Linked DNA regions of Anolis sagrei. The protein of the gene in region 2 interacts with the protein of the main gene of each other region in a pairwise test. Links are inferred from orthologs where the notes say so. Each region holds a gene or a part of one and is shown on either strand. Other genes may lie near its edges. The genes, in order: VIM, KAT7, NINL and DVL3.

What was found.
Region 1: the proteins of KAT7 (region 2) and VIM interact in binary tests that used the Homo sapiens proteins (3 or more experiments, as listed by UniProt). The link is inferred for Anolis sagrei from reciprocal best matches to the Homo sapiens genes KAT7 and VIM.
Region 3: the proteins of KAT7 (region 2) and NINL interact in a two-hybrid assay, tested with the Homo sapiens proteins (2 studies listed by BioGRID and IntAct). The two-hybrid records come from large-scale screens. The link is inferred for Anolis sagrei from reciprocal best matches to the Homo sapiens genes KAT7 and NINL.
Region 4: the proteins of KAT7 (region 2) and DVL3 interact in a two-hybrid assay, tested with the Homo sapiens proteins (2 studies listed by BioGRID and IntAct). The two-hybrid records come from large-scale screens. The link is inferred for Anolis sagrei from reciprocal best matches to the Homo sapiens genes KAT7 and DVL3.

The regions. Positions count from the first base shown.
Region 1 is NC_090026.1:105,844,152-105,851,685, reverse strand, and holds the start of VIM (vimentin), read right to left. Parts: upstream 3,018-7,534; 5' UTR 2,932-3,017; coding exon 2,357-2,931; intron 1-2,356. UniProt on the Homo sapiens protein: Vimentins are class-III intermediate filaments found in various non-epithelial cells, especially mesenchymal cells. Vimentin is attached to the nucleus, endoplasmic reticulum, and mitochondria, either laterally or terminally.
Region 2 is NC_090026.1:31,669,693-31,677,222, reverse strand, and holds the start of KAT7 (histone acetyltransferase KAT7), read left to right. Parts: upstream 1-4,523; 5' UTR 4,524-4,572; coding exon 4,573-4,602; intron 4,603-7,530. UniProt on the Homo sapiens protein: Catalytic subunit of histone acetyltransferase HBO1 complexes, which specifically mediate acetylation of histone H3 at 'Lys-14' (H3K14ac), thereby regulating various processes, such as gene transcription, protein ubiquitination, immune regulation, stem cell pluripotent and self-renewal maintenance and embryonic development.
Region 3 is NC_090021.1:21,905,918-21,912,871, forward strand, and holds the start of NINL (ninein-like protein), read right to left. Parts: upstream 3,020-6,954; 5' UTR 2,763-3,019; intron 1-2,762. Other genes in the region: EIF4A3 (eukaryotic initiation factor 4A-III), read left to right, coding at 6,283-6,448, 6,693-6,765. UniProt on the Homo sapiens protein: Involved in the microtubule organization in interphase cells. Overexpression induces the fragmentation of the Golgi, and causes lysosomes to disperse toward the cell periphery; it also interferes with mitotic spindle assembly.
Region 4 is NC_090023.1:264,637,250-264,644,969, reverse strand, and holds the start of DVL3 (segment polarity protein dishevelled homolog DVL-3), read left to right. Parts: upstream 1-4,704; 5' UTR 4,705-4,815; coding exon 4,816-5,030; intron 5,031-7,720. UniProt on the Homo sapiens protein: Involved in the signal transduction pathway mediated by multiple Wnt genes.

The DNA.
Region 1 (7,534 bases), about 74 Mb from region 2:
CCTCTGGGGATGCCTGTCATAGATGCAGGCAAAATGTCAGGAGAGAATGCTTCTGGTCTGGAACATGACCATACAGCCCAAAAAACTTACAACAACCCGGTGTCAGACTGCATTCATTTTACAGTGTTGAGATACCCATCAGTGTCTTCTAGAGCCCTTCCACACAGCCATATCAAGAGAATATCAAGGCAGAAAATCCCACAATATCTGCTTTGAACTAGGTTGCCTGAGTCCACAGTCATATATTCCAGTTCAAAGCAAATAATGTGGGATTTTATTCAGCTGTGTGGAAGGGGCCCTAGTTAAAACCTGCTAGGTTCAGGTTTATCAATGCTTAGGATCTGAGTGTTGGAGGAAGGAGAGAAGTTCTGCCTGTCTTCTGCAGGACTCCCAGGGCCCTTCCACACATCCATATAACCCAGAATATCAAGGCAGAAAATCCCACATTATCTGAGTGTGGACTCAGATAACCCACAATATCTGCTTTGGACTGGGTTACGTGAGTCCACACTGCCATATATCACAGTTCAAAGCAAATAATGTGGGGTTTATTCAGCTATGTAGAAGGGGCCCCAGTGAGGTGGTGCCTATGCTTTGAAATTATCCTTACCTCAGCCCTTTCACCCTATCCAACAAGCTTACTTATTCATTTACTTTATTCTTATCCCACCTTCCTTCAAATATAGGGATTCAAGATGGCTAAAGAGTGCTCATCACACTAGAGAACGAATCCACTTTAAATCCAGTTTCTGCTTCCTACAGAGTTCTGGGGTTTGTAGTTTAGGGAGGAACATTTAACAGCCTTACTAAACTACAAACCCCAGAATTCTGCAGGAGGCAGAAACCAGATTTAAAGTGGATTCATTCTCTAGTTGTGCTGAAATAGTTTGGACTGCTATGGCTCAATGCTGGGAGTTGTAAATCTTACAAAGGTCTCTAGTTTGCATGGACAAACTTGGGCCCTCCCTCCAGGTATTTTGGACTCCAACTCCCACCATTCCTAGCAGCCTCAGGCCCTTTCCTTTTCTCCCTCAGCCGCTTAAGTGGCTGAGGGGGAAAAGGAAGGGGCCTGAGACTGTTAGGAATGGTAGGAGTTGGAGTCCAAAATACCTGGAGGACCAAACTTTGCCCAGGCCTATTCTTTGTTAAGTTCCATTTTTAATGTTTATTTTCCAGGTCTGTAATTGTTGCTTGTTGTTTGTTTACAACATTTATATGCCGCCCTTCTCACCCCAAGGGGAATCAGAGCAGCTTACAAGACATATATATATACAATATATATTATTCGCATAGTACAATATCAGTATTAAATATTACTATATTGTACTGTAACATTATATTGTAATATTATTAGTAATATTACATATATTATAAATATATAATTATAGTATCATATTATTATTATTACTGGGAGCCCCTGGTGGTGCAGTGTGTTAAACCGCTAAGATGCTGAGCTTGTTGACCGAAAGGCTGCAGGTTCAAATCCAGGGAGTGGCATGAGCTTCCACTGTCAGCCCCAGCTTCTGCCAACCTAACAGATGTGAGTAGATTAATAGACACTGCTCTGGCATCAGGCATGTAGCCGGGGGGGGGGGGGCTTGGGGGCTTCAGCCCCCCCCCCCCCAAATTTTCATGATGGTCTGCGAAAAGGCCTTACTGGTGCATTATTTAAACTGTTATGTTTATTCATATCATGATCTGATCACCATACTCAATATATCCCATATGCATGGGGGTATTGGGGTAACGATACAAAAGGTTTGCTAGGGTAGACCCTCTTTCACTCAGACGCAGCCCCCCCCCTGAATCAAACTCAGCCCCCCCCCCCCGAATCAAAATCCTAGGGGCCTGTCTGGCAGGAAGGTAACAATGCTCCATGCAGTCATGCCGGCCACATGACCTTGGAGGTGTCTATGGACAACGGCAGCTCTTCGGCTTAGAAATGGAGATGAGCACCAACCCCCAGAGTCCGACATGACTGGACTTAATGTCTGGTGACAACCTTTACCTATTATTATTAGTAGTAGTATTATATTCGTAATTGTACATTGTGTATCAATGGAAAAGTGGTATACAAGTAAAACTAAGTTGTGACATTAGTCCGAAAGAGCAGATTCACCTCTCCCTCCAATTTAGGGTCCTTCCACACAGAGTATCAAGGCAGAAAATCCCACAATATCTGCCTTGAACTGAGTTATGAGTCCATACTACCATGATATTCTGGGATATAGGGCTGTGTGTGTGGAAGGGCCCTTAGACTTGACACCTGTCCCACAAACCCACCAGCCCTCTGCTGGCCTCTCCCCCGCGCATGCGCCCTGCCCTGCCCTGCCCGCCCTGCCCGTCGCGCGCTTACTTCTCCCGGAGGCGCAGGATGTCGTCGCTGAGGTTGTCCCGCTCCACTTCCACGCGCGCCTTGTCGTTGGTGAGCTGGTCGACCTGGCGGCGGAGCTCGCGCATCTCCTCCTCGTAGAGGTCTCCCAGGCGGGAGGTGCCTTTGCCCTTGAGCTGCTCCAGCTCCGCCAGCAGGATCTTGTTCTGCTGCTCCAGGAAGCGCACCTTGTCGATGTAGTTGGCGAAGCGGTCGTTGAGCTCCTGCAGCTCGGCCTTCTCGTTGGTGCGGTTGGCCTTGAACTCCGTGTTGATGGCGTCGGCCAGGGAGAAGTCCACGCCGGCGTCGCCCAAGTGGCGCATCGCGGGCATGCTGGACCGCAAGCGCACCGACTTGGAGGCGTAGATCCCGCCGCCGGGCGCCGAGGAGACCAGGCGCACGCTGCTGGGCCGGATGGCGCTGCCCAGGGAGTAGCGCGTCGAGGAAGAGGAGACGTAGCGGGTGCCGCCGCCGCCTCCACCACCCCCCATGCTGGACCGGCCGGAGCCTCCGAACATGCGGCGGTAAGACGAGGTGCGCTGGCTGCTCGTGGTGCTCATGGTTGTTGTAATCCCAAAAGTGTGTGGAGTGGAGGAGGAGGAGGAGGAGACGGCGTGGAAGGCTTCTGCTGCAGGTGCGCAAGGCAAGAAAGGCGCTGCGGGCCGAGGAGGAGCGCCTTTTATACCCCGGGCACGCCCCTCCCGTCCAACAAGCGCCCGGAGAGCCAATCAGGAGGCCCCAAAGCCGGCCAAGGATGACTCACGGGGCCTTTGGGACCCCTGAAGGGAGGGGGGAAAGAGGGGGGGAGGGATGATGAGAGGCCCCTCCTCCTCCTCCTCTCCCTTCCTTCCTTCCCTCGCAGTCCCAACCCAGCCCAGAGGCCCAAGACTAGTGTTTTAGGCTGCCCTGTATCCAAGGATCTCATCCATCTCAGGACCTTTCCACACAGCCACATAACCCAGTATATCATAGAATCATAGAGTTGGAAGGGATCTCATGGGCCATCCAGTCCAAGCCCCTGCCAAGAAGCAGGAAAACTGCATTCAAAGCACCCCTGACAGATGGCCATCCAGCCTCTGTTTAAAAGCCTCTAAAGAAGGAGCCTCCACCACACTCCGGGGCAGAGAGTTCCACTGCTGAACAGCTCTCACAGTCAGGAAGTTCTTCCTAATGTTCAGGTGGAATCTCCCTTCTTGTAGTTTGAAGCCTAGTCTCCAGAGCAGCGGAAAACAAACTTGCTCCCTATGACTTCCTCTCACATATTTATACATGGCTATCATGTCTACTCTCAGCCTTCTCTTCTTCAAGCTAAACATGCCCAGCTCTTTAAGCCGCTCCTCATAGGGCTTGTTCTCCAGACCCTTGATCATTTTAGTCGCTCTCCTCTGGACACATTCCAGCTTGTCAATATCTCTCTTCATTTGTGGTGAAAATTGTTGGATTTTCAAGGCAGAAAATCGAACAATATTTGCTTTGAACTGGGGCCCCTTCCACACAGCTGAGTAAAATCCCTCATTATTTGCTTTGAACTGGGGTATATTGTGGGATTTTCTGCCAGGGTTATATGGCTGTGTGGAAGGGCTCTGGGTTATCTGAATCCACACGCAGATAATGTGGGATTTTTGGCCTTGATATTCTGGGATATAGGGCTGTGTGGAAGGGCCCTGGAATATATGGCAGTGTGGACTCGTAACCCAGAATATCAAGGCAGAAAATCCCCACAATATCTGCTTGAACTGGGGCCCCTTCCACACAGCTAAATTAAACCCCACATTTTCTGCTTTGAACTGGGATATATGACAGTGTGGACTCGGATAACCCAGTTCAAAGCAGATATTGTAGGATTTTCTGGCTTGATATTCTGGGTTAAATAGGTGTGTGGATGGTTATCTGAGTCTACACAGCCATATATTCCAATTCAAAGCAAATAACATGAGGTTTTAATGTGGAAGGGGCCACAGATAATCTGCTTAGAACTGGATTAAATGAGTCTCCACTGCCAAATTATCTGGGACAAAAAGATCATCTGGGTTTAGATCCTGGGATAGAGTAAAGAACCAGTCTAGAACAAGCATCTACTTAGGTGTAAAAAACAAAACCCATTAGTGACTCCATTTATGGCCCTTTCATAGAGCCATATAACCCAGAATATCAAATTAGAAAGTCCTACAATATCATGTTTGAACTGGGTAATTGGAGTCCACATTGCTATATATTCCAGTTCAAAGCAGAAAATGTGGGATTTTATTCAGCTGTGTGGAAGGGGCCTCAGTCCCAGCTCAGTGACAGCACTCTGCTTTCTGACGAAGTTTGAGTCAGTTTAGCACTGCAGCCCAAAGAGAAGAACCACCATTAGTAACACCACTCCCTTTCCCTCAGGGTCCTTCCACACAGCCCTATATCCCACAGTATCAGCTTTGAACTGGGTTATCCGAGTCCATACTGCCGTATACTTCAAAGCAGATAATGTGGGATTATATTGAGCCGTGTAGAAAGGGCCTCAGAGACGAAAGAATCTTTAACTCTCTTTCTAGCCAAGGCTGACCCAGTTTCGCCTGGAGAGGAGAGACCCTTTAAACTGGCTTCTTTGGTTTATGGGAAAGCTTTTCTGCAAGTTGGGAAGGACTTCGGAGAGGAAGTGAATTGGGCTTCGATATTTATTAGAAGAAGCGGCTGAGGGGGGAAAGGAAGGGGCCTGAGACTATTACGAATGGTGGGAGTTGAAGTCCAAAACACCTGGAGGGAGGGCCCAAGTTGGCCCATGCATGGTGTAGAGGCGCCCAACATTTCCAGGGCTCCCCCTCAAGACTCCGCTCTATCTGCCGCCATGGCGCGCCTCGCAAACTTTTCAGTGTCTTGGTTCACTTTTCGTTTTCGGGGCGGCTTTCCTCGCCATGTCCGGCAACGTTGGTAACAATGAGCTCCACCCTTGGCTCCCCCGATTTCTTTCCTTCTCTCCTCTGCTTCTACTTTGCTCCTCCTCCTCCTCCATCAATCAGGAGTCTGGCCCTTGTCCGACCGCTGCAGCCACCGTCCCCTCCTCCGCCTTTCCCCTCGCAGGGCTTTTCCCCGCCGTCAATCACCTCCCCTCCCCCCCTCCCCTTGGGTTAGAAGGAGGCACTTTCTCCCCCTCCTCTTCCTCCTCCTCTTCGCCCTTGCAACAAAGTTGGGCTGGGTGTTTGAGAAGAGATTCTTCATTAATATCCGCACACCAACAGCAAGCGCACTTACAAAAACGACCAAGCACTTGGACAATAGTAAAGAAAACAGCCCCACAAGCATCCTCCCAAATCAACGACTAAGGCCCCTTCCACACAACTGAATAAAATCCCGGTAATAGTATGAAAGCTGGGTCCGGAAGCTCAGAGCGTTACGCTGTTTCCGCTTCGCTCCTTCGGGAGCGCTATTTGCGCAACACAGAACGGAACACAGATATTCATAGTTCATCGTTCTTTCATGGTAAAACCCTAAACCTAACTCTAACTCTAACCCTTAACCCTGATCCTAACCCAAACCCTAAACCTTACCTTAACCCTTAACTCTAATCCTAACCCTTACCCTTAACTCTAATCCTAACCCTAAACCTAACCCTAACCCTTAAACCTAAACCTAACTCTAAGCTTAACCTTCTTAACCCTGATCCTAACCCAAACCCTAAACTTTACCTTAACCCTTAACTCTAATCCTAACCCTTACCCTAACCCTTAACTCTAATCCTAACCCTAAACCAAACCCTAACCTTAAACCTAACTACAGCTTCCAAGATTGTGTAACACTGAGACATAGCCATTCAAGTGGTGTCAAACTGCATTTATTTTGCAGTGTAGGTGTACCCGCTATTTCCAGCTCCTCAGGGCCAAGTTCATGTTCTTTGAGATGCACAAGAAAGGCATGCTTGCTTATCAGCCATGTCCACATGGGAGTTTATCTGATGCCAGAGAGGAGTCCTGTTTGCTTGGCTGACTTGCCTCTTGCCTCCGCCTGACTCTGCTGGAGACACTTGTATATTGTGCTGCTTTTTAATAATAATAATAATAAGGCAATAACTTCCTCAGAAAGGGGAAGGAAGCTGTGGCAGATCTACATTGTAAAACTAATTCATCTTGACAGATCTTTACCTGTCATGGCTCAGTGCTATGGAATCCTGGGATCTGTAGTTTGTTGAGGTACCTGCACTCTTTTGACAGAAAGGGCTGAAGGGCTTCTAAGGCCCCTTCCACACAGCTGAATAAAATCGCAGGTTATCTGCTTAAGAGTTTCTAAGGCCCCTTCCACACATTGAATAAAATTCCACATTATCTTCTTTGAACTGGAATATGTGGCTGTGTGGACTCAGATAACCCAGCTCAAAGTACATATTGTGTGTTATTCTGCCTTGATATTCAGGGTTATGTGGCTGTGTGGAAAGGCTCTAAAACTACAACTGCAATGATTCCATAGCATTGAGCTGTGACAGTTAATGTTGCATCAAACTGTATTCATTTTATAGTGTAGTAGATGCATCCAGCGTGTTCTCAGGTGGACAGATTTAGGCCCAAAGGCTTTCTGCAGCTATCCTGTTTTTTCTTGATCTTTTTTTTTATTTCTCATAAGAAATGGAGAAAAAAAGAGGAAGTATCCTGTTCATGATGCAAAGCGGTTGCACAGCACAAATTTCATCTGCAAATACACTTGCTGACTTACATCTTTCAAAATCAGTTCTGCTAATAGATGTGGTCATTGGTCAGGGAGTCAATCCACTGAGTTCCATAGGAAGTTTCTTGTTGGTATGTGTGCTAGGGACTCATCACCCTATTCTGGGGTTTTCTTTCTGAAATTTATTCCGAGGAGGTTTGTCCTTGCCTTCCTCAAAAAGCTGAGGGAGTATGACTTGCCTAAGATCACCCACTTAATTTTCATAGCTGAAAAGGAAGTCATAGGATGTTTCTACACTGTAGAATTAATGCAGTTTGACACCACTTTAGATAGCACGGTTCAATACTATGGAATAATTGGAGTTGTAGTTTTATGAGGTCTTTAGCCTTCTCTGCCAAAGTTACCAAGTGCCTCACCTAATTCCAAACCTCAAGATTACATAGCTTTGAGCCATGGCAGTTAAAGTAGTGTCAAACTGCATTCATTTAAGATGTAGATGCACCCCTAGCCCAGCACTCATACCAGTAC
Region 2 (7,530 bases):
GCCATTTGGGAGTTGTAGTTGCTGGGATTTATAGTTCACCTACAATCACAGAGCATTCTGAACCCCACAACAATAGAATTGAACCAAACTTGGCACACAATTCTCCCATGACCAAAAGAAAATACTGGAAGGATTTGGTGGCAGTGTCCTTTGGTTTTGGAGTTGTAGTTCACCTACATCCAAAGATCACCGTGGACTCAAACAATGATGGATCTGGACCAAGCTGTACAAGAATACTCAATATGCCAAAATGTGAACACTGGTGGAGTTTGGGGGAAATAGAATCTTGACATTTGGGAGTTGTAGTTGCTGGGATTTATAGTTCACCTACAGTGAAAGAGCATTCTGAACCCCACCGATAGAATTGGGCCTAATCTCCCACACAGAACCCCCATGTGGGCCACAGCAACATAAATAATAATAATAATAATAATAATAATAGAGAAATGTATATAGCTACAACCCAGTTTGCCCAAACCAAAAATGGATGCTCCTATTATGAGGAACAGAGGCTGGTTCCCAAAACAAAGATGGCGGATTCAGCACCGCTCTGAATTCAAACTCCCGATGCAACTGTGGTCAGTTTAGACTTTTGGGTAAGAACCAAGCTCTGCCCGGCTCAAAGATGGCCGCCCCTGTTCTTTCGACCCGAGGCCCTGCCCGGCTCAAAAATGGCCGCCGCTCCACGCGCGGAAGACGTCATTCCCCATTCCAAGATGGCGGGCGGCCGTCGGCGTGAGGTGAGGTTTGTCTGCGTCACGTGACGGGCAGGACGGGGGTGTGTATCTCCCCGCCGAGTGTCCCGGCGGAAGAGTGGAGGGAGTCGGCTGAAAGGTCGCCGCTGGGGGGAATCAGGCACCAGAGGGCGGCGCGGCCTGGCGCTGGGGGACCGGAGGCACGCCAGTCACGACGGACACCGCCGGAGCCAACGCGGCGGCCGGGGCGCAGCCACCCTCGCTGCCTCCGCCGCCGCCTCCGCCCAGGATGTCTCGCCGAAAGGTAAGCGGCGCCAGAAGGAGCCAAGCCCCTCCGCTCGCCTTCTCCTTCGCCCGCTTAGACCGCCAGGCTCGAAAACCAGTTAAAAACGTAGGCCTTCAAGCCCCTGCTTCAGCTCGCGGCGTGATTGGCTCCCTCTGCCTCCCGCCGCCACTTGAATGGCCGCCCTCGCCATCAGTTAGGGCAAGCCCCGCCTTCGACGGTTATTTGTTTCCCTCCTCCCTTTGGGTGGTTGTTGTGTCCCGCCTCCTTCCCGCCCTGATAGGCTCCGTTGCCGTCCTCTCATTGGTTGGCCTCCCTATCACTTCCTACTGGCGCGGTTTTCTTCTCCCCGCCTCCTTCCTCGCTTCAGACTTGGCTGTATGTGTTGAGGAAAGGCGCTGATTGGCTGCTCTGAATTAGCCTTCCCTTGCTCCTCATTGGATGGCAGGCAGCCGAACGCCCACCTCCTTGATGTTGTGATTGGCGGAGGAAGAAAATGCCTGAGATGGTTCAAAACAGAGCAAGCAAGATGGCCCAGGCAGGGTTGCAGAACAGGAATCAGTTTTGATTAAATATGGTTATACTCTTACATTTTTTTCTCATCATGGAACCATTTTAACTGCAGGATAAACCTGCAAAGGTATCATTTCCTTTTGATCAATCTAGTTAAGGCCTCTTCTACACAAACTCCACATTGAACTGGATTATATGGCAGTGTGGACTTGGGCCCTTCCAGACAGGCCCAGGATCCCAGCATCTGATCCCAGGTTTTATGTTTATCCCAGATTATCAGGCAGTGCGGACTCATATAGTCCAGTTTAAAGCAGAAAACCTGGGTTCAGATCCTGGGATACAGGGCCTGTCTGGAAGGGCGCTTCCACACAGCCATATAACCAAGACTATCAAGGCAGAAAATCTCACAATATCTGTTGTGAACTGTGTTCTGCCATATATTTCAGTTCAAAGCCAATATTGTGCGATTTTCTGCCTTGATATTCTAGGTTATATGGTTGTGTGGAAGGACCCTTAGATAACCCAGTCCAATGCCAATATTGTGGATTATCTGCCATGATATTCTGGGTTTTAATTATTTATTTATTTCTATCCCGCCTTTCTCCCAATTGGTACTCAAAGTGGCAAACAAACATGTAATGAAAAACATTGCAGAGCATAAAATTATGCATAATCATCACACCACAAACATATCTAATAAGAGGTTGTTGTAGGTTTTTCAGGCTATATGGCCATGTTCTAGAAGCATTCTTTCCTGACGTTTCGCCTGCATCTGTGGCAGGCATCCTCAGAGGATCCCTGCTATAGATGCAGGCAAAACGTCAGGAGAGAATGCTTCTAGAACATCGTCCTGTAGCCCGAAAAATCTACAACAACCCAGTGATTCCAGCCATGAAAGCCTTTGACAATACATATCTAATAAATTATAAAACTGGTGATGACATAATAAATAGATAACACAATTTAAACATTCAATAAAGTTAAAAGATTACACGGCTGTGGGAAAGAGCCCTTAGAGATTTCCATTTCAAGTGGTTAGATTCATTTTAGTTTCATACATAGTTTCATACAGCAAAAGATCCTCTGATACATTGAAACTGATATAATTTTGTTAACTTGTTATTGTGTCATTTCCACTCCAAGGTGACTCCAGTACAGGGGCTTTTTGGCGAAATTTGTCCAGGTGTGATTAGCCATTGCCTTCCCTTGAGACTGAGAGAAATTTAAGATGGATTTTAATATAAAACCACACAAGGCATATTTCCCAGACATCAGCTGAGACATTGAGTGCACGAAAGACTCATTTGTCAATTGGAATAAACATCACATGTTGTCTGTGCCAGCGTATGAAGATCTTATTGAAATTCATTGTCGCTATAGGTGATCCCTCGTGGCCAGGTATGGTCTTGGTGGTGGGCCTGTTAGTGACTAGAGACCTATTCTAGATCCACATGGGCTTTCGAGGAGACATATTTCCAAATGGAAAGCAGTCCCGACAAGGTTTTGCATGACACACCTTCCCTTTGACTCCTTTTTTCCTTTCGTCCTCTATTCATGCTTCTTTGAAAGCTACAGCACTGTTGGTAAGCTGACATCCAGTGAGAGCACTCAAGTGCCATGGAGTGTTTATTCCACGTATTTTAAAGATTAGCTTTAAGCCCATCTTTAAATCTCTTTTGCTGTCAATCAACATTCCCTTTTCCATTGTTGAGCTGAGAGTAAAGTAACTGCTTTGGGAGATGGTGATCAGACATTTGGACAACACAGCTGCTTCAGCGAAGTTGATGGTGTAGGATCATCTCTTCCGTACTGATGGTCTTTGTTTCCAGAATGCTGACATTTGTCCACCTGTCCAAAGACATTTTTGAAGGCAACGCTGATGGAATTGTGCTAGAAGTTGAGAGTAACATTTGTAGACATTCCATGTATCACATGTGTACAACAGAGTTGGAAGTATAAAGGCTTTATAAACAAGCATCTTGGTATCCTTATGAATGCCCTTATCCTCAACAGGGCTTCATTTGAAAAAATGCTGCACTCACAAAGCTCGAATGGTGTATTTTGGCATCAATGTCAACTTTTGTGGAGAGATGGCTAAATTCAGTGTACCTCAGCTTTTTGAATCTGTACCACTGAATGACTTTTGGGTAGGACTAGTAGCCAGAAAGACCATCCAAGCTCTGCTCCCCTTTGTGTCCACCTGTCGATGTGAATTAGGTTTTCCAGTGTATATTTACATCAAAAACAAATACAGAAGTAAGTTGGATTCCACCCCAGATCTTCAAATTTATCTGTTGGACATAAAGACCAGTTTCAGAACTATTCTTAGTACAAAAATTAAACACTCTAATTCATGAAATAATCCAATATTTTCTTGGTTGAAATAAAGGTTTGTGGTTATATTTAAAGTATTTCCAAAGTAAAGTATTTAAAGTATTTTGGTATTATCCAAAAAACTTTGTGGGTTCACAAGCTAAAAATCAAGGATAGAATTAGGGTACCATGGAGGGTGGGGATAGGAATGCCTTCTGAATGGTTCCATGGCAGAAGATGTTTGGAAACTTCTGCTGTAATCCAAAACTGCCAGATATTCTTTTGGAGATTATAATTTCAGACTCCTAGTTCATATACATAGCTCCTACTGGAATAAATAGAATAATTTTCTTAACTAGCTTGATTGAGCGGTAGTATTTGTTTTTCAATTATAAAGTGATGAATCAAGAGTCACAGCACATTTGTACTCTGCTGCTATGTATTGAGTATACAGACATCGTTGGAAAATATTCTAAACATTTGTATCTTTCAGTTCTTCAAGTGCATCTTTTAAGTATGTACGAGGGTTGAATGAAATGTAATGCCTCTACCTTCGTAACTCCTCAACAGATGGCAGGTACTGGCTTGTTCAGTAGACTCTCCTCTACAGTTCCGTTTTGGTGGGAAGCCTTAGCATTGAACGGTTGTGTTGTTAATGTGCGAAGTATGGAACCCTGCGAAGATGGTTGATCAATGCAACTTAAGCAACATGCAGTTATTGAATTCTTGACAACAGAAGGTGTCACCCCAAAGGAGATTCATCAGAGAATGCAAGCTGTCTATGGTGATTGTGTTGATGTGAGTACTGTGCGTCATTGGGCGAGTAAGTTTAAAGATGTTGAGGTGGGAACATCTGGCTTGCGTGATAAACAAAGAGTTGGACATCCTGTGACAGCAACCACCGAGTTTCACAAGCAAAAGGTTGACAGATTGATTCAGGACGATTGTCATATCACTCAGAGAGAAATTTCAAGCATCATCAGCATTTCACGAGAACATGTGTGTCACATTATTGCTTTGCTTGGCTATCAGAAGATCTGTGCACGATGGGTACCCAGGTTGAGAGAACTGTGAGACGCTGGTTGCGGAAACAGAGAGTTGACGTCTTCTGTGATGGCTTCAGAAAACTTGTTTATCGTTGGCAGAAGTGTATCCAATTGTCTGGTGATTATGTGGAAAAGTGAATAGTGGTAGTTAAAGAGCACATTCTAAGGATTATTTCTGCGTTCGATTTATTAAAATATTCCCTTCCAAACCCAAGTAACAAAGCTGGAGGCATTACTTTTCATTCAATCCTCATATTTATCTTACTAATGATTTGCTTTTACATGTGCTGAGGCTTGTCAAATCTATATCTGCTTAGTGTTAACATTGCTGCAAGAGTAAATTCTCCCAGACTACTCCTCTTTAACTCTTTGGAGTCCCCTTAGCGTTCTCTTCCTTCCCTGGCACCTGTTACCCAATTTGTGTCACGACACAAAACACAATTGTAAACGTTATCTAATTGAATAATTTAAGATGCTTATGATCACAGTTCTTCTTCAGGTGCATCAACACTGTAGAATTGATGCAGATTGGTACCACTTTTAACTGTCATGGCTCAATTCTATGGAATTGTGGGAGTTGTCGTTTTTATAAGGAAAATCAAGACCTGTTTATGGGACCAAGCATTTGATCAGTGAGCAGCAAGTGGAAGAAGATCACACAACTTATGGCAATGAATTGACCTGGACTGGTTTTTAAATTTCGATTTTAATGGATGTGTCTTAATTAATTGTTTTGATTGTTGTTTTGATTTTTAATATTTTGATTGTATTGTGGTTGTTTTTATGATGCTAGCATCATATGATGCTTTTGTTAGGCCACCCTGAGTCCTCTTTCGGGGAGAAAAGGGCGGGGTATAAACATAGGAAAAAAATAAATATAATAAATAAATAGTCTAGTCTTGTCTGCCAAAGAGTATTAGTGCTCCAGCAAACTACAAATTCTATGATTCTGTAGCATTGGGCCATGGCAGTTAAAGTGGTGTCAAACACATTAATTCTACAGTGTTTCCTATATTGATTATTAAATCAACAGTGACAACTGTCCCCAAAGAAGTTGTTTCAGGTTTCTGAACCTGAACCGCTGTGAGTCGCCTTCGGGTTTGAGATACAGCAGTATATAAGCAAAGTAAATAAATAATAAATAAAATAAACTAGACTGCATGACATATAGGTTAAGCTGTTTGCTGTGTGTCTGTGAAGACCATTTTAAATGCTAGCTGTATTTGAACTTGAGTGGCGAAGGGACCACTGTGATGATCACATGGCTGTCATTGTGTTAATCCTACCTCAAATCCCACATTTGCTCTTAACGTATTATTGCTCCCAGGATTCCCACTGGAACCACTTCCTCTGTGTTTGAAAATAAGGCTGGGTTGTTTTTGCACGTACACTCTGAGACCTGACCAACAATAAAGAAAAACGTTACAGCTTTTGCACAGAGGCATATCAAACAACACAAAATATTAGAATGCCATAAAGCTCAATAAGAGTTTTACCCACATATCGCTTTACCCACATAGAGGACATTAAATCAGCAACAACGACAAGTGACACTATGTTCAGACGCGTCTTTGTATGTACCTTTTCATAATCAAAATCTGTAATAATCTGTAATAATGTATCAGTGAAATAGAATGGGAAGATTGGGGGTGATTCATTCACTAAGAATAGATGATCTTATGGCACTTAATTATCCCACATGTATTCAAATAGTCACATCTTGCAGTTGTTGTTTAATTGAGAGTTTAGCATTGGTAAAACCAAGACTTCTTATACATGACTAAGAAAACCCTAGAATAGCCACTAAACAATACAAAACTTTTCTGTGAGGTAAGTGGCACCTCACTGGTGCAATCAGCATATATACATATGCATATATGAGAGAGAGAGAGGACGACACTTTTTACCTCCAGGGCACAAACATATGTGACTGCAGTTTCCCTTTATTTTAATATACCATTAATCTGTTAACTGTACAGCACTGTCTACCCTCACACACTCTTTTGTTGTCTTTTTGGAACTTGATTCTTTTTTCTCTCTGACTTCTGAATCCTGACCCTGTTGTTCTCTTTTCCTTGCACATCATTCTAACAACACCTCCTACTCACACTCTGTTAGCTTTTCATCATCCATATACAAATGACACTCCACATTCTTGATTTAGTCTTCAGGCATATACTTTGAATCATACTTATCATCTAATATCACAATATGTGTGCAGTGGATTATTGAAAATTGCATTATAATCTATGTAACGTTAGCAAGGTCTCAACCCTGTTTGTGTGGGTGGCTATGAAACAGGCTAATGCTTAGAAATGTTGTCTTCCTAAGAAACAGTGTTGCGCATAGTTCCTTGCATAGAGAGCTGATGATCATTTGGTGCAACATGATGAAACAACTTTCTGGATTGTTTGGATTTACCAGTAAGTTCTCAGAACTCCAGTCACCATGATCAGTGTAGGAATTGTGAGGACTAAAACTGAAAACAGCAAGAGTTTGTCAGTGGTTTCTGATTGACTATATGAAAAAATAAGTTTAAGACCATTGCCTTGAGATCTGACTTCCAATTCACATCAGACTGATGGTGGAGGATTATGGGAGTCTTTAAATACCTGCAAACCTTAGTTACTTCCCTGTGCATTGAGGCATGGAGATATCTTCCTTATAAGCGTTGACTTGG
Region 3 (6,954 bases), on a different chromosome or scaffold from region 2:
TAATAAGACAATAACATATAACTATAAATTAACCTAACCAAATTAAAACATAAAATAACATTTAGACATAAAGCATAAAATATTAAACACTGATAATACAATAATACAAAGGTAAGCTATCTATGGGTGGGGGCCTGCATAGGAGCAATTCTGAACACTAAAGCAAATACAGTGTCCACATAAAGGTGGGGTATCCCATAAGGTCCCAGAATAGATGCAACCCTGAACCGTTAAAGAAAAGTACAGTAGTCCCACAAAGGTGGAAATATCCCAAAAAAACCCAGTATAGGAGCAGAGTTTTGTACTCCTATAAAGTTGGGTCCTTGCACAGGAGGAATCCTGAACCCATAAAGCAAGGATAACACTCCCATCAAGGTGGGGTGTCCTAAATAAGGCCCCTTTACACGTGCAATTCTGAATGAGTAAGAAAAGTAGAGTGCACTCGCATAGGAGCAAACATGACCCACTAAAGCAAGTATAATACTCACATAAAGGTGAGATACTTTAATGGGCCCCTACCTAGGAGCTACTATGAATAACTAAAGAAAGTAGAGTACTTGTATAAAGACGGGCTGTTAAAGGTTCCCTGCATAGGAGCAATCCTGAACCACTAAAGCAAGTGCAATACTCAATATGAAGATGAGATATTACTGCATTTTCATATGTGTGTTTGTAGAAATTTTGTAGTATTTGTGTGCTTTTTTACTGTGCTGTGACCTGCCTCGAGCCATGTGGAGAGGTGGGTAAGAAATAAAATTATATTATTGTTATTATTATTGCTATGTACATAACAACACAGCACACATGTACATGAGGTCCAAGTGTCTGAGATTCATCCCTGAATATCGGGCTTTTCCCAAAGGCCTAGAATATTAGAGGTGCGCAGTTCTGAGAAGTGTTGCCTTCTGCAGCATGTGGATTGAAGTTCTGTCCAAATTAAGTGCTTTCCAGTGCTTTTTTTTTTTTTTTTTGGGGGGGGGGGGGTTCTTGGAATGCCCTCAAGAAAACCAACTAAGATTGGTACCACTGTTTTCTTTTGACATAGTCATCCAATTTCAAGTTGTAACTCCTTGTATTTCATTATCTTTTCCAGCTCTTTGTCCTCGACTCTGTTGTCTCCTGGTACTGATAAAAATATGTTTTTTTCCACAACTGTCATATCTCATGTGTTATGTGGCAGGTGTTTATCTGTTTGGATTCCGAAATCCCTGAGTATTTTTGCTTCTTCATTTTCCATAGTCGTCATCATTTACTTCTTTTTCTTCTTCTTATTATTATTATATCTTAAAGGGCCCCTGCATAGGAGCAGCCCTGAACCCCTAAAGCAAGTACAGTATTCTTGTAAAGCTGGAATATTCTATACTATATCCTATAGGTAGTCTGTCCTATATGGCCCTTGCATAGGAGCAACCCTGGACCCATAAAGCAAGAACAGAATTCTTGTAAAGGTAGGATATTCTATACTGTATACTATCGGTGGTCTGTCCTATAGGGCCCCTGGATAGGAGCAACTCTGGATCCCTAAAACAAGCACTGTATTCTTGTAAAGATGGGATATTCTATAAAATATCCTATAGGTGGCCTGTCCTATAAGGTCTCTGCAGTGGGGCAACCCTGAACCCCCAAAGCAAACACAGTATTCTTGTAATGGTGGGATATTCTATAAAATAGCCTATGTAATGGTGGGATATTCTATAAAATAGCCTATATGTGGGCCGTTCTATAGGGTCCCTGCATAGGAGCAACCCTGGACCCCTAAAGTAAGCACAGTATTATTGTAAAGGTGGGATATTCTATACTATAGGTGGTCTGTCCTATAGGGTCCCCTACATAGGAGCAACCCTGAACCCCTAAAGCAAGCACAATGTTCTTGTAAAGGTGGGATATTCTATACTATAGGTGGTCTGCCCTATAGAGTCCCTGCATAGGAGCAACCCTGAACCCCTAAAGTAAGTACAATACTCAATGTGGAAGTGAGACATCTTAAAAATATCCTGCATAGGAGCAACCTGAACTCCTAAAGCAAGTACAGTACTCTTGTAAAGGTGGGATATTTTATACTATATCCTATAGGTGGTTTGTCCTATAGGACCCTGCATAGATGCAAGCCTGAACCCCTAAAGCAAGCACAGTATTCTTGTAAAAGTAGGATATTCTATATTATATCATATAGGTGGGCTGTCCTTTAGGGCACCTGCATAGGAGTAACCCTGGACCCCTAAAACAAGAACAGTATTCCTTTAAAGGTGGATATTATATACTAAATCCTATAGGTAGGTGTCCTATAGGGCCCCTGAATAGGAGCAACCCTGAACCCCTAAAGCAATACAATACTCAACATAAAAGTGAGATATCTTCAAGATATCCTGCATAGGAGTAACCTTGAACCCCTAAAGCAAGCACAATATTCTTGTAAAAATGGGACATTCTATATTATATCCTATAGGTGGGCTGTCCTATAGGGTACCTGGATGGGAGCAACCCTGAACCCCCAAAGCAAGTACAATACTCAAGGTGGAAGTGAGATACCTTCAAGATATTCTGCATAGGAGTAACCCTGAACCCCTAAAGCAAGCACAATATTCTTGTAAAAATGGGACATTCTATATTATATCCTATAGGTGGGCTGTCCTATAGGTTACCTGAATAGGAGCAACCCTGAACCCCTAAAGCAAGCGCAATACTCAAGGTGGAAGTGAGATATCTTCAAGATATCCTGCATAGGAGCAACCCTGAACCCCAAAAGCCAGCACAGCACTCACCTCTGCCCTCCTCCCACTTGTTGCTTTGACTCTCAGAGCAGAAACTGCAGCAGCAGGAGCAGCATCTCCAGGGAAAGGGAAGCCAAGCCTTGCTCCAGAGGCTCTCCTCCGCCTCCTTTGTGTCCCTCCGAAGCCCAAAGCGGCGTGCTTTGCCGGGGCTTCTCCCTCCAGGGGTGGAGGCCCCTCCCCGGGGCTGGACCGGGCTAAGCAGGCCGCCCCCCGTCCTCAGACCACCCTCCTCCTCCTGCCTGCCTCCCTTCCTCCTCCTCCTCCTGGCATTGGCTGCTGTTGCTTCTTCCTCTTGAGTCCCTGGCTGCAGCTGCACTGTGGGATTAATGCATGCAGCTTGGCACCTCTTGACCTGCATTGGCTCAAGGCTATGGGATCATGGGAGCTGTAGTTTGGCAAGGCACCAGCACTCTTGGCCAGAGGAGGCTGGAGACCTTGTGAAACTACAATTCCCACAATCCCATAGCATTGAGCCAGGGCAGTTGAAATGGTATCAAACTGTATTCTTTCTATAGTGTAAATATACCCACCATCAGGTGCTTTGCATCTTACTTCAAGGCTGGGAAAATAGGGGGAAAGCAACAACCACAACAACAACAACAACAACAAAGGCTCAGAAATAGAATCATAGAATCCTAGAGTTGGAAGAGACCTCATGGGCCATCCAGTCCAACCCCCTGCCAAGAAGCAGGAATACTGCATTCAAAGCACCCCTGACAGATGGCCATCCAGCCTCTGTTTAAAAGCTTCCAAAGGAGGAGCCTCCACCACACTCTGGGGCAGAGAGTTCCACTGCTGAACGGCTCTCACAGTCAGGAAGTTCTTCCTCATGTTCAGATGGAATCTCCTTTCTTGTAGTTTGAAGCCATTGTTCTGCGTCCTAGTCTCCAAGGAAGCAGAAAACAAGCTTGCTCCCTCCTCCCTGACTGCACTGACCATGTCATGTAAGATAACCAATTGCAGAGAAGGGAACCAATAGAATGAGCAGGAACTAGGCAGTGCTTCTTGTAGGTCAGAGAATGGTCCAGAGTGACTCCCAGGTATTATTTATTTATTTATTTACAGCTTTTATATTCCGCCCTTCTCACCCCGCAGGGGACTCAGGGCGAATTACAGTGTACACATACATGGCAAACATTCATTGCCAATTTTTGACATACAAACATATACAGACATACACAGAGGCTATTTAACTTTTTCTGGCCACCAGGGGAGCTGTCGCTTTCATTGTCCATCTGCGACACTGATGAAGTACTTCCGCATTCCTCGCATGCTTCCCCGCTGGAATGCTTTGCTGGAGTCTTCTTTATGGCCTCATAAATTAGTTAATTTAGCCTCCCCACACTTTAATGTGGTACCTAATTTTCCCACTTGACAGATACAACTGTCTTTCGGGTTGCAAAGGTCGACAACAGGCTACACACAATTGGTTGGAAAACCCACTCCAACCTGGGCTAGCTTCGAACTCATGACCTTTTGGTCAGAGTGATCTTTAATGCAGCTGACACTCAGCCAGCTGCGCCACAATCCCGGTATTTGGGTGTGCTGCAGTGCTCCAGTGGGATTCCTTCCCTGGTAATCCTCAGAGCTCGAAATGCTTGTCTGTTCTTAAGGTGAAAAGCACATGTCTGCATTTTAGATGGATTAGGAATCAGCTGGTTTTCCCTGTAATAGGTAGTAAGGCCACCTAAAGCTTTGGAGAGCTTCTGTTCAACGATTTCACAGCTCCCTGCTTGGGTGGTGATGGCATGATCGTCAGCATAGATGAAACTCTCTGTCCCTTCTAAACAGTATAATTTCTCCAGTGGTGTAGGGCGTAGACATCCTGTGATAATGCGGCATGTGTCCTTAAGAGCCACATCCACTGTTTTAACGTGATGGGATGTGTTCCACACTGGGCATAAGGAAAGGAAAGGGCCTGAGGTTGTTAGGAACTGTGGGAGTTGAAGTTCAAAACAACTCCCATGCCTGTTGTAGATGGACAGCACTGATCATGCTCTCATAATCTGAGGATTCGACCCTAGAATCATAGAATCAAGAGTTGGAAGAGACCTCATGGGCCATCCAGTCCAACCCCCTGCCAAGAAGCAGGAATGTTGCATTCAAATCACCCCTGACAGATGGCCATCCATCCTCTGTTTAAAAGCTTCCAAAGAAGGAGCCTCCACCACACTCTGGGGCAGAGAGTTCCACTGCTGAACGGCTCTCACAGTCAGGAAATTCTTCCTCGTGTTCAGATGGAATCTCCTCTCTTGTAGTTTGAAGCCATTGTTCCGCGTCCTATTCTCCAAGGAAGCAGAAAACAAGCTTGTTCCCTCCTCCCTGTGGCTTCCTCTCACATATTTATACATGGCTATCATATCTCCTCTCAGCCTTCTCTTCTTCAGGCTAAACATGCCCAGCTCCTTAAGCCGCTCCTCATAGGGCTTGTTCTCACCCTGACTCTGGAGATGTGAGTTCGAATCCTAGCTTAGCCACAGAAATCCAAGTCACACTCTCTCAGCCCCAGAGATAGGCAAAGGCAAACTTCGGACTTCAACTCCCAGAAGGCTCTCACATCGTGGCCAACACCCAGGAATTCTGGGAGATGAAGTCTCAGACAAAAGAATCCCTGCTTGTTGTGACTCTTATCAAAAACATATCTCTATGGGCAGAAGCGAACGTCGGTAAGCGTATGTTTAGGGCGAGAGTCACTGAGAAAGCTTTACTGCGCACGCGCAACTGTCTCCTGTATCTATAACCTTTACAAAGCGCGAACGTTGCAAAATCAGAGATGGAAGCATTAACGCGCATGCGTGAAGTCTAGTCCCGTTACTGACTCTATTGGGAGGAGTGAACGTTTGCTGACGTCATGGAGACAGGGTGAGGAAGGGCAAACTTCGGACTTCAACTCCCAGAAGTCTCCCACATCGTGGCCAACACTCAGGAATTCTGGGAGATGAAGTCCCAGACAAAAGAATCCCTCCTTGTTGTGACTCTATAAGTTATATCTCTATGGGCGGAAGCGAACGTCGCTAAGCGTCTTTTAGGGCGAGCGTCACTGAGAAAGCGTTAATGCGCATGCGCAAGTGTCTCTTTTATTTTTTACAAAGCGCGAGCGTTGCTAAATCAGATAGAAGCATTAACGCGCATGCGTGAAGCCTAGTCCCGTTACTGACTCTATTGGGAGGAGTGAACGTTTGCTGACGTCATTGAGACAGGGTGAGGAAGGGTTAGAGCGCATGCGTAAGTGATTGTTTGAGGCTGAGCGTTGGAGCGCATGCGTAAACTTCTCGTCTCTTTAGCGTCTGTTGGGACTCTCTGGAAAGGAGCGAACATTGGGTGGACGTATGTTTTACGTCGTGCGTCACCATCTACGTCATGGAGTAGAGCTGAGGGCGCATGCGCGGTTCAGTTGCGGCCTAGCCGGCGGTGTTGCGGATCTCCTCACGTTCTCACGCGCGGCCTTCGGAGCCTCTGAGGGAGAAACGCGTGCAGGGAAGCGGCGGGAGGCACGACTCGGCCGGGAAGGATGTCGGGGACGACGGGAGGTACGGCGGGCTCTGCTCGGAAGCGGCTGCTGAAGGAGGAAGACATGACGAAGGTGGAGTTCGAGACCAGCGAAGAGGTGGACGTCACCCCCACCTTCGACACCATGGGCCTGCGCGAGGACCTCCTCCGAGGCATCTACGCCTACGGTGAGCCGGGAGGGACAAGATTCTCATTCTGTCTCGCATTATAACCATCTATACAAACATAACAACAATAACACAGTCTACCGTTATATATTATTATATATTATCAGTAGTAACTATTATATTTAATATATTAGTATTGCTATATTACAGTAGGGCGGCATATAAATGTCATAAATGTTCATGTTTTGGGGTTTGATCTGTAAGTGGAAAGGGATGCTAAATGAATTTTAAATGGCTTTTCTAGGCTTTGAGAAACCTTCAGCTATCCAGCAGAGAGCAATCAAACAGATCATTAAAGGAAGAGACGTAATTGCACAGTAAGTACAGATTATTTAATTATTTAAACATTTATATTCCGCCCTTCTCACGTCGCAGGGGACTCAGAGCAGAGCACAACATATATACGGCAAATATTCAATGCTGGGATATAAAACCATAAATATATACAAACATTAAAGTCACTTATATTCAGATTAAAAGTTGCTTAAAAACCATCTCAGGACACC
Region 4 (7,720 bases), on a different chromosome or scaffold from region 2:
CTTCTATGACATCATTATTCATATATGAATGTTAAACTGAGATGATCCTGTTCCTGTTTAATTGCTCTGTTTCCATGATATCTCCTGTGCCATTTATGTTCCTATCCACTTTATTGAACTACTAGCGGTCCCCTGCCACGCGTTGCTGTGGCCCAGTCTGGTGATCTGGAAAATAAAGTAATGAGAAAGTGTGGGTTTCTAATATATGTAATGTCTTAATGCTTGTGGGTAAACAGTATTTCTTGCTGTTTCTTGGTCAGTGTTGATGTGGAGAGTGTCTGGTTTGCCTACTCTGGAACATGCAACATATCTTTGTCCTTCTTTAGGGGTCCCTTTCAAATCTATGATACTGCATCTGTCATATACATATGTGTGTTTGTGTGTGAATGGCTGGATGGTCCTTTGTCAGGAGAGCTTTGATTATGTTTTCTTGCCCTGGTGAAGGGAGTTGGACTGGATGGCCTTAAGGCAGCATTTCTCAACCTGGGAAGTCAAGACTCGGGGGGGGGGGGTCACCAGAGAGGTGTCAGAAGGGTCGCCAAAGACCACCAGAAAACACAGTATTTTCTGTTGGTCATGAGGGTTCTGTGTGGGAAGTTTGCCCCAATTCTATCATTGGTGGGGTTCAGAATGCTCGATTGTAGGGGAACTATAAATCCCAGTAACTACAACTCCCAAATGTCAAGGTCTATGTTCCCCAAACTCCATCTGTGTTCATATTTGGGCGTATTGAGTATTCGTGCCAAGTGTGGTCCAGATCCATCATTGTTTGAGTCCACAGTGCTCTCTGGATGTAGGTGAACTACAACTCGCAAACTCAAGGTCTATGCCCACCAAACCTTTCCAGTATTTTCTGTTGGTCATGGGAGTTCTGTGTGCCAAGTTTGGTTTAATTCCATCATTGATAGAGTTCAGAATGCTCTTTGATTGTAGGTGAACTATAAATCCCAGTAACTACAACTCCCAAACGTCAAGGTCTATTTTCCCCAAACAACACCAGTGTTGACATTTGGGCATAGTGAGTATTTGTGCCAAATTTGGTCCAGGCCCATCATTGTTTGAGTCCAAAGTGCTCTCTGGATGTAGGTGAACTACAACTCCCAAACTCAAGGTCAATGCCCACCAAACCTTTCCAGTATTTTCTGTTGGTCATGGGAGTTCTGTGTGCCAAGTTTGGTTCGTTTCTATCATTGGTGGAATTCAGAATGCTCTTTGATAGCAGGTGAATTATAAATCCCAGCAACTACAACTCCCAAGTGAAAAATCATAATGTTTTGAGTGATGGTCACTCCTTGTGTAGTGAGATGTTTTGTTGCCAAATTTGGTGTGATTTCGTTCATTGGTTCTTTTGTTTTTAAGCTACTCATTATGCACAGAGCATTTATATATATATAGATTTACTTTTTAATCAATTTGTATGTTGGCCTCCTTCCCCCTCCAAAATTTGGGTTGCTGTTGCTTGATGCTTGTTTATTACTGTTATGCTGTTTTGTGTCATTTTAATTTGTAACTTGTTGTTGCTTTGCTTTTAATTGTATGTTGCCTGGGCTTGGCCCCATGTGAGCCGCCTGAGTCCCCTTGGGGAGATGGAGGCGGGGTAGAAAAATAAAGTTCTTCTTCATCATCTGTTGGAACTAGGAAAATTGGGTTTATATCTCTGTGGAATGACCAGGGTGGGACAAAGGACTCTTGTCTGTTGGAGCTAGGTGTGAACGTTTCAACTGACCACCTTGATTAGCATTTGATGGCCTGGCAGTTGTTCGGCGTGGCTTGTTACTGCTTGGTGTATACCATGGAGCTGTGGACAAGTTACATAGGGACCACCAAACGCAGCAGCATTGCCCAGACACGACTCAAGGAACATGAAAGGCACTGCAGACTACTTCAACCAGAGAAGTCAGCCATAGCAGAGCACCTGATGAACCAACCTGGACACAGCATAATATTTGAGAACACAGAAATGCTGGACCACTCTCACAACCACCATGTCAGACTACACAGAGAAGCTATTGAAATCCACAAGCATGTGGACAATTTCAACAGAAAGGAGGAGACCATGAAAATGAACAAAATCTGGCTACCAGTATTAAAAAAAAGCCTCTAAAATTACAACAGCAAAACAACAGAGAGGAAACAATCAGGGACAGCTAATCACCTCTCAACAAAAGATTGCTCCAGGCACTAACAAGCCACACCAAACAACTGCCAGGCCATCAAATGCTAATCAAGGTGGCCAGTTGAAACATTCACACCTAGCTCCAACAGACAAGAGTTCTTTGTCCCACAGATATACAAACCCATTTTCCTAGTTCCAACAGACCTTACTGCCTCTGAGGATGCTTGCCATAGATGCAGGCGAAACGTCAGGAGAGAATGCCTCTAGAACATGGCTCTATAGCCTGAAAAAAATCTACAACAACCTATTGTTGTTGTATTGTCCTGGGCCCGGTCCTGTTCAACATCTTTATTAATGACTTGGATGAAGGGCTAGAAGGCATGATCATCAAGTTTGCAGACAACACCAAATTGGGAGGGATAGCCAATAGTCCAGAGGACAGAAGCAGGATTCAAAACGATCTTGACAGATTAGAGAGATGGGCCAAAACTAACGTAATGAAGTTCAACAGGGACAAATGCAAGAGACTCCACTTAGGCAGGAAAAACGAAATGCAAAGATACAGAATGGGGGACGAGGCCTGGCTCGAGAGCAGTACGTGTGAAAAAGATCTTGGAGTCCTCGTGGACAACAAGTTAAACATGAGCCAACAATGTGATGTGGCGGCAAAAAAAGCCAATGGGATTTTGGCCTGCATCAAGAGGAGCATAGTGTCTAGATCTAGGGAAGTCATGCTCCCCATGCTCTATTCCGCTTTGGTTAGACCACACCTGGAATATTGTGTCCAATTCTGGGCACCACAATTGAAGGGAGATATTGACAAGCTGGAATGTGTCCTGAGGAGGGCAACTAAAATGATCAAGGGTCTGGAGAACAAGCCCTATGAGGAGCGGCTTAAGGAGCTGGGCATCTTTAGCCTGAAGAAGAGAAGGCTGAGAGGAGACATGATAGCCATGTATAAATATGTGAGAGGAAGCCACAGGGAGGAGGGAGCAAGCTTGTTTTCTGCTTCCTTGGAGACTAGGACGCGGAACAATGGCTTCAAACTACAAGAGAGGAGATTCCATCTGAACATGAGGAAGAACTTCCTGACTGGGAGAGCCGTTCAGCAGTGGAACTCTCTGTTCTGGAATGTGGTGGGGGCTTCTTCTTTGGAGGCTTTCAAGCAGAGGCTGGGTGGCCATCTGTCAGGGGTGATTTGAATGTAATATTCCTGCTTCTTGGCAAAATGGGGTTGGACTGGATGGCCCATGAGGTCTCTTCCAACTCTAGGATTCTACACTGAACATGAGGAAGAACTTCCTGACTGTGAGAGCTGTTCAACAGTGGAACTCTCTGTTCTGGAGTGTGGTGGGGGCTTCTTCTTTGGAAGCTTTTAAACAGAGGCTGGATGGCCATCTGTCAGGGGTGATTTGAATGCAATATTCCTGCTTCCTGGCAGAATGGGGTTGGACTGGATGGCCCATGAGGTCTCTTCCAACTCTAGGATTCTACAGGAAAGGAGATTCCACCTAAATATGAGGAAGAACTTCCTGACTGGGAGAGGTGTTCAGCAGTGGAACTCTCTGCCCTGGAGTGTGGCGGAGGCTCCTTCTTTGGAGCCTTTCAAGCAGAGGTTGTCATAAGGGAGAGGGAGAAGCCTGGGCCCAAAGGATACGAAAGGATCTTCCCCCTGAACATGAGGAAGAACTTCCTGCCTGGGAGAGCTGTTCAGCAGTGGAACTCTCTGCCCTGGAGTGTGGTGGAGGCTCCTTCTTTGGAGGCTTTGAAATAGAGGCTGGATGGCCATCTGTCGAGGTTGTCATAAGGATGAGGGAGAAGGATACGAAATGATCTTCCCCCTGAACATTAGGTAGAAGTTCCTGACTGGGAGAGCTGTTCAGCAGTGGAACTCTCTGCCATGGAGTGTGGTGGAGCCTCCTTTGGAGGCTTTGAAGCAGAGCCTGGATGAGGGAGAAGCCTGGGCTCAAAGGATACGAAAGGATCTTCCACCTGAACATGAGGAAGAACTTCCTGACTGGGAGAGCTGTTCAGCAGTGGAACTCTCTGCACTGGAGTGTGGTGGAGCCTCCTTTGGAGGCTTTGAAGCAGAGCCTGGATGAGGGAGAAGCCTGGGCTCAAAGGGTACGAAAGGATCTTCCACTTGAACATGAGGAAGAACTTGACTGGGAGAGCTGTTCAGCAGTGGAACTCTCTGCCATGGAGTGTGGTGGAGCCTCCTTTGGAGGCTTTGAAGCAGAGCCTGGATGAGGGAGAAGCCTGGGCTCAAAGGATACGATGGGATCTTCCACCTGAACATGAGGAAGAACTTCCTGACTGGGAGAGCTGTTCAGCAGTGGAACTCTCTGCCATGGAGTGTGGTAGAGCCTCCTTTGGAGGCTTTGAAGCCGAGCCTGGATGAGGGAGAAGCCTGGGCTCAAAGGATACGAAAGGATCTTCCACTTGAACATGAGGAAGAACTTGACTGGGAGAGCTGTTCAGCAGTGGAACTCTCTGCCTCGGAGTGTTGTGGAAAGCGCCTTCCTTGGAGCAACACCCACTCTGAGGAGGCCGGAAGCGGAAGGGGCGGAGCCGCGCGAGGTGGGGGCGGGGCTTGTGTTGCTTGTGCTGCTGCTTGTGCTGCTGCTGCTTTTTGGGCCTGCAGGCGCTGCCGGAGCCCCGGGCTGGCGTGAGCGAGCCCCCCGAGGGAGAGAGCAGCCATGGCGGCGCCTCCAGCCGCAGCAGCAGTAGGAGCCTCCTCCTCCTCGTCAGCGATGGCGGAGACGAAGATCATCTACCACCTGGACGAGCAGGAGACGCCGTACCTGGTGAAGGTGGCCATCCCGGCCGAGCGGGTCACGCTGGGAGACTTCAAGGCCCTCCTCAACCGGCCCAGCTACAAGTTCTACTTCAAGTCCATGGACGACGACTTCGGGTGAGGCGCCCAGGCAGGCCCGCTTCCTCCTCCTGTCCATTGGCTTTTGTGTTGTGTCTGTCTGTCTCCCGCAAGGAGATAATCTGGGTTATATGGCAGTGTAGACGGAGATGTCCTCCCTCAAGAGGACAATGGACCTACGCCAAAGAAATAGTAGAATGTAATACTATATATTATATATATATGTAATATAATATAAAAAGAATATAATGTAATATGATAAATTGTATACACATATAATAGAATGTAATATAATATATTTTATGTACATAATGTAATATAAAAAGAATATAATAATATTATTGATGTAATAAATTGTATATACATATAATATGATATAAAAAGAATATAATATAATATATTGTATACACATAATATAATATAATGTGATATAAATGGTATATACATATAATATAATGTAATATAATATATTGTATATACATATATATAATATAAAAAGAATATAATGTAATATAATATATTGTATACACATAATAGAATATAATATATGTTGTATATACGTATAATATAATATAAAAATAATATAATGTGATATAATAAATTGTATATACATATAATATAAAGTAATATAATGTAATATCATATATTGAATATACATATAATATAATATAAAAAGAATATAATGTAATATAATATATTGTATACACATAATAGAATATAATATATGTTGTATATACATATAATATAATATAAAAATAATATAATGTGATATAATAAATTGTATATACATATAATATAAAGTAATATAATGTAATATATATTGAATATACATATAATATAATATAAAAATAATGTAATGTAATGTAATATATTGTATACACATAATATAATATAATATATATTGTATATACATGTAATATAATATAAAAATAATATCATGTGATTTAATAAATTGTATATACATATAATATAATATAAAATAATATAATGTAATATAATACATTGTATATACATATAATATAACATAAAATAATATAATGTAGTATAATATATTGTATATACATATAATATAATATATTGTATGTACATAATATAATATAAAAAGAATATAATGTAACAAAAAATATAATAATAAAATAAATATAATAAATTGTATATACATATAATATAATATAAAGTAATATAATGTAATATAATAAATGGTATATACATATAATATAATATAAAGTAATATAATGTATTATAATATATTGTATCTACATATAATATAATATAAAATAATATAATGTAATGTATTATATTGTATATACATATAATATAATATGTAATATTATTTTTATTGTATACACATATACAATAAAATATACATATACATGTATTGTATACACATATAATGTAATATAATAAATTGTATATACATATAATATAATATATTGTATGTACATATAATATAATATAAAAATAATATAATGTAATATAATATATTGTTTACACATATCATATAATGTAATATCATATATTGTATATGCATATAAACCAATGTAATATAATATATTGTATATACATATAATATAATATATTGTAGATACATATAATTAACATAATTCAAAAACCACTGGACGAATTGACACGAAATTTGGATACAATACATCTAACAGTCCAACGAGTGTCCATCACCCCTAAAAATACACACACACACACTCACACACAAAATCCCAGCAGAACAGACTTAAAACCCCCCAAAATACTCAATATATACATATACACATACACTCATATACATACACATATGCACACATTCATATACACACACGTATATATATGCACAAACACACACAAATATACACATATACACACATACATATACATACGCATACACACAATTATGCTTATAGACAAGCACACACATATACACAATGTGCATGTACACATATAAACACACAAATACACAAATATATACAGACACATATACACACACACATATATATATGAATATACATATATATATATGAACACATAAATATACACATAAACACATATAAATATATACAGACATATACACACACACACACACACACATATATATATATATGAATATACTTATATATATGAACACACAAATACACACACACACACATAAACACATATATACACACACAAAACACATATACACAGACTGGGCCACAGCAACGTGTAGCAGGGGATGGCTAGTTCTACTACTAATAATGATATTATAATTATATATTTCATATGACATGTAATATTACAATATAATGGTATAGTACAGTATATAATACTGATATTCAACTATGCTAATAATATATTGTATGTATATATATCTTGTAAGCCACTCTGTGTCCCCTTCGGGGTGAGAAGGGCGACATATAAATGTCATAAATAAATAAAGGCCTAAACCAGGCATGGGCAAACTTGGGCCCTCCAGGTATTTTGGACTTCAACTCCCACAATTCCTAGCAGTCTCAGACCCCTGAGGGGGGGGGGGAATGAAAGGGCCTGTGCCTGCTAGGAAATGTGGGAGTTGAAGTCCAAAACATCTGGAGGGCCCAAGTTTGCCCATGCCTGGCATAAACATTGCCCATGCCTGACCTCCATTGACTGCAGGAGGAAATAAATAATAATAAGAAACTTTATTTATATCCCACCATCATCTCCCCGAAGGGACTTCGGGGCGGCTAACATGAGGCCAAGCCCAAACAAATTACAATAAA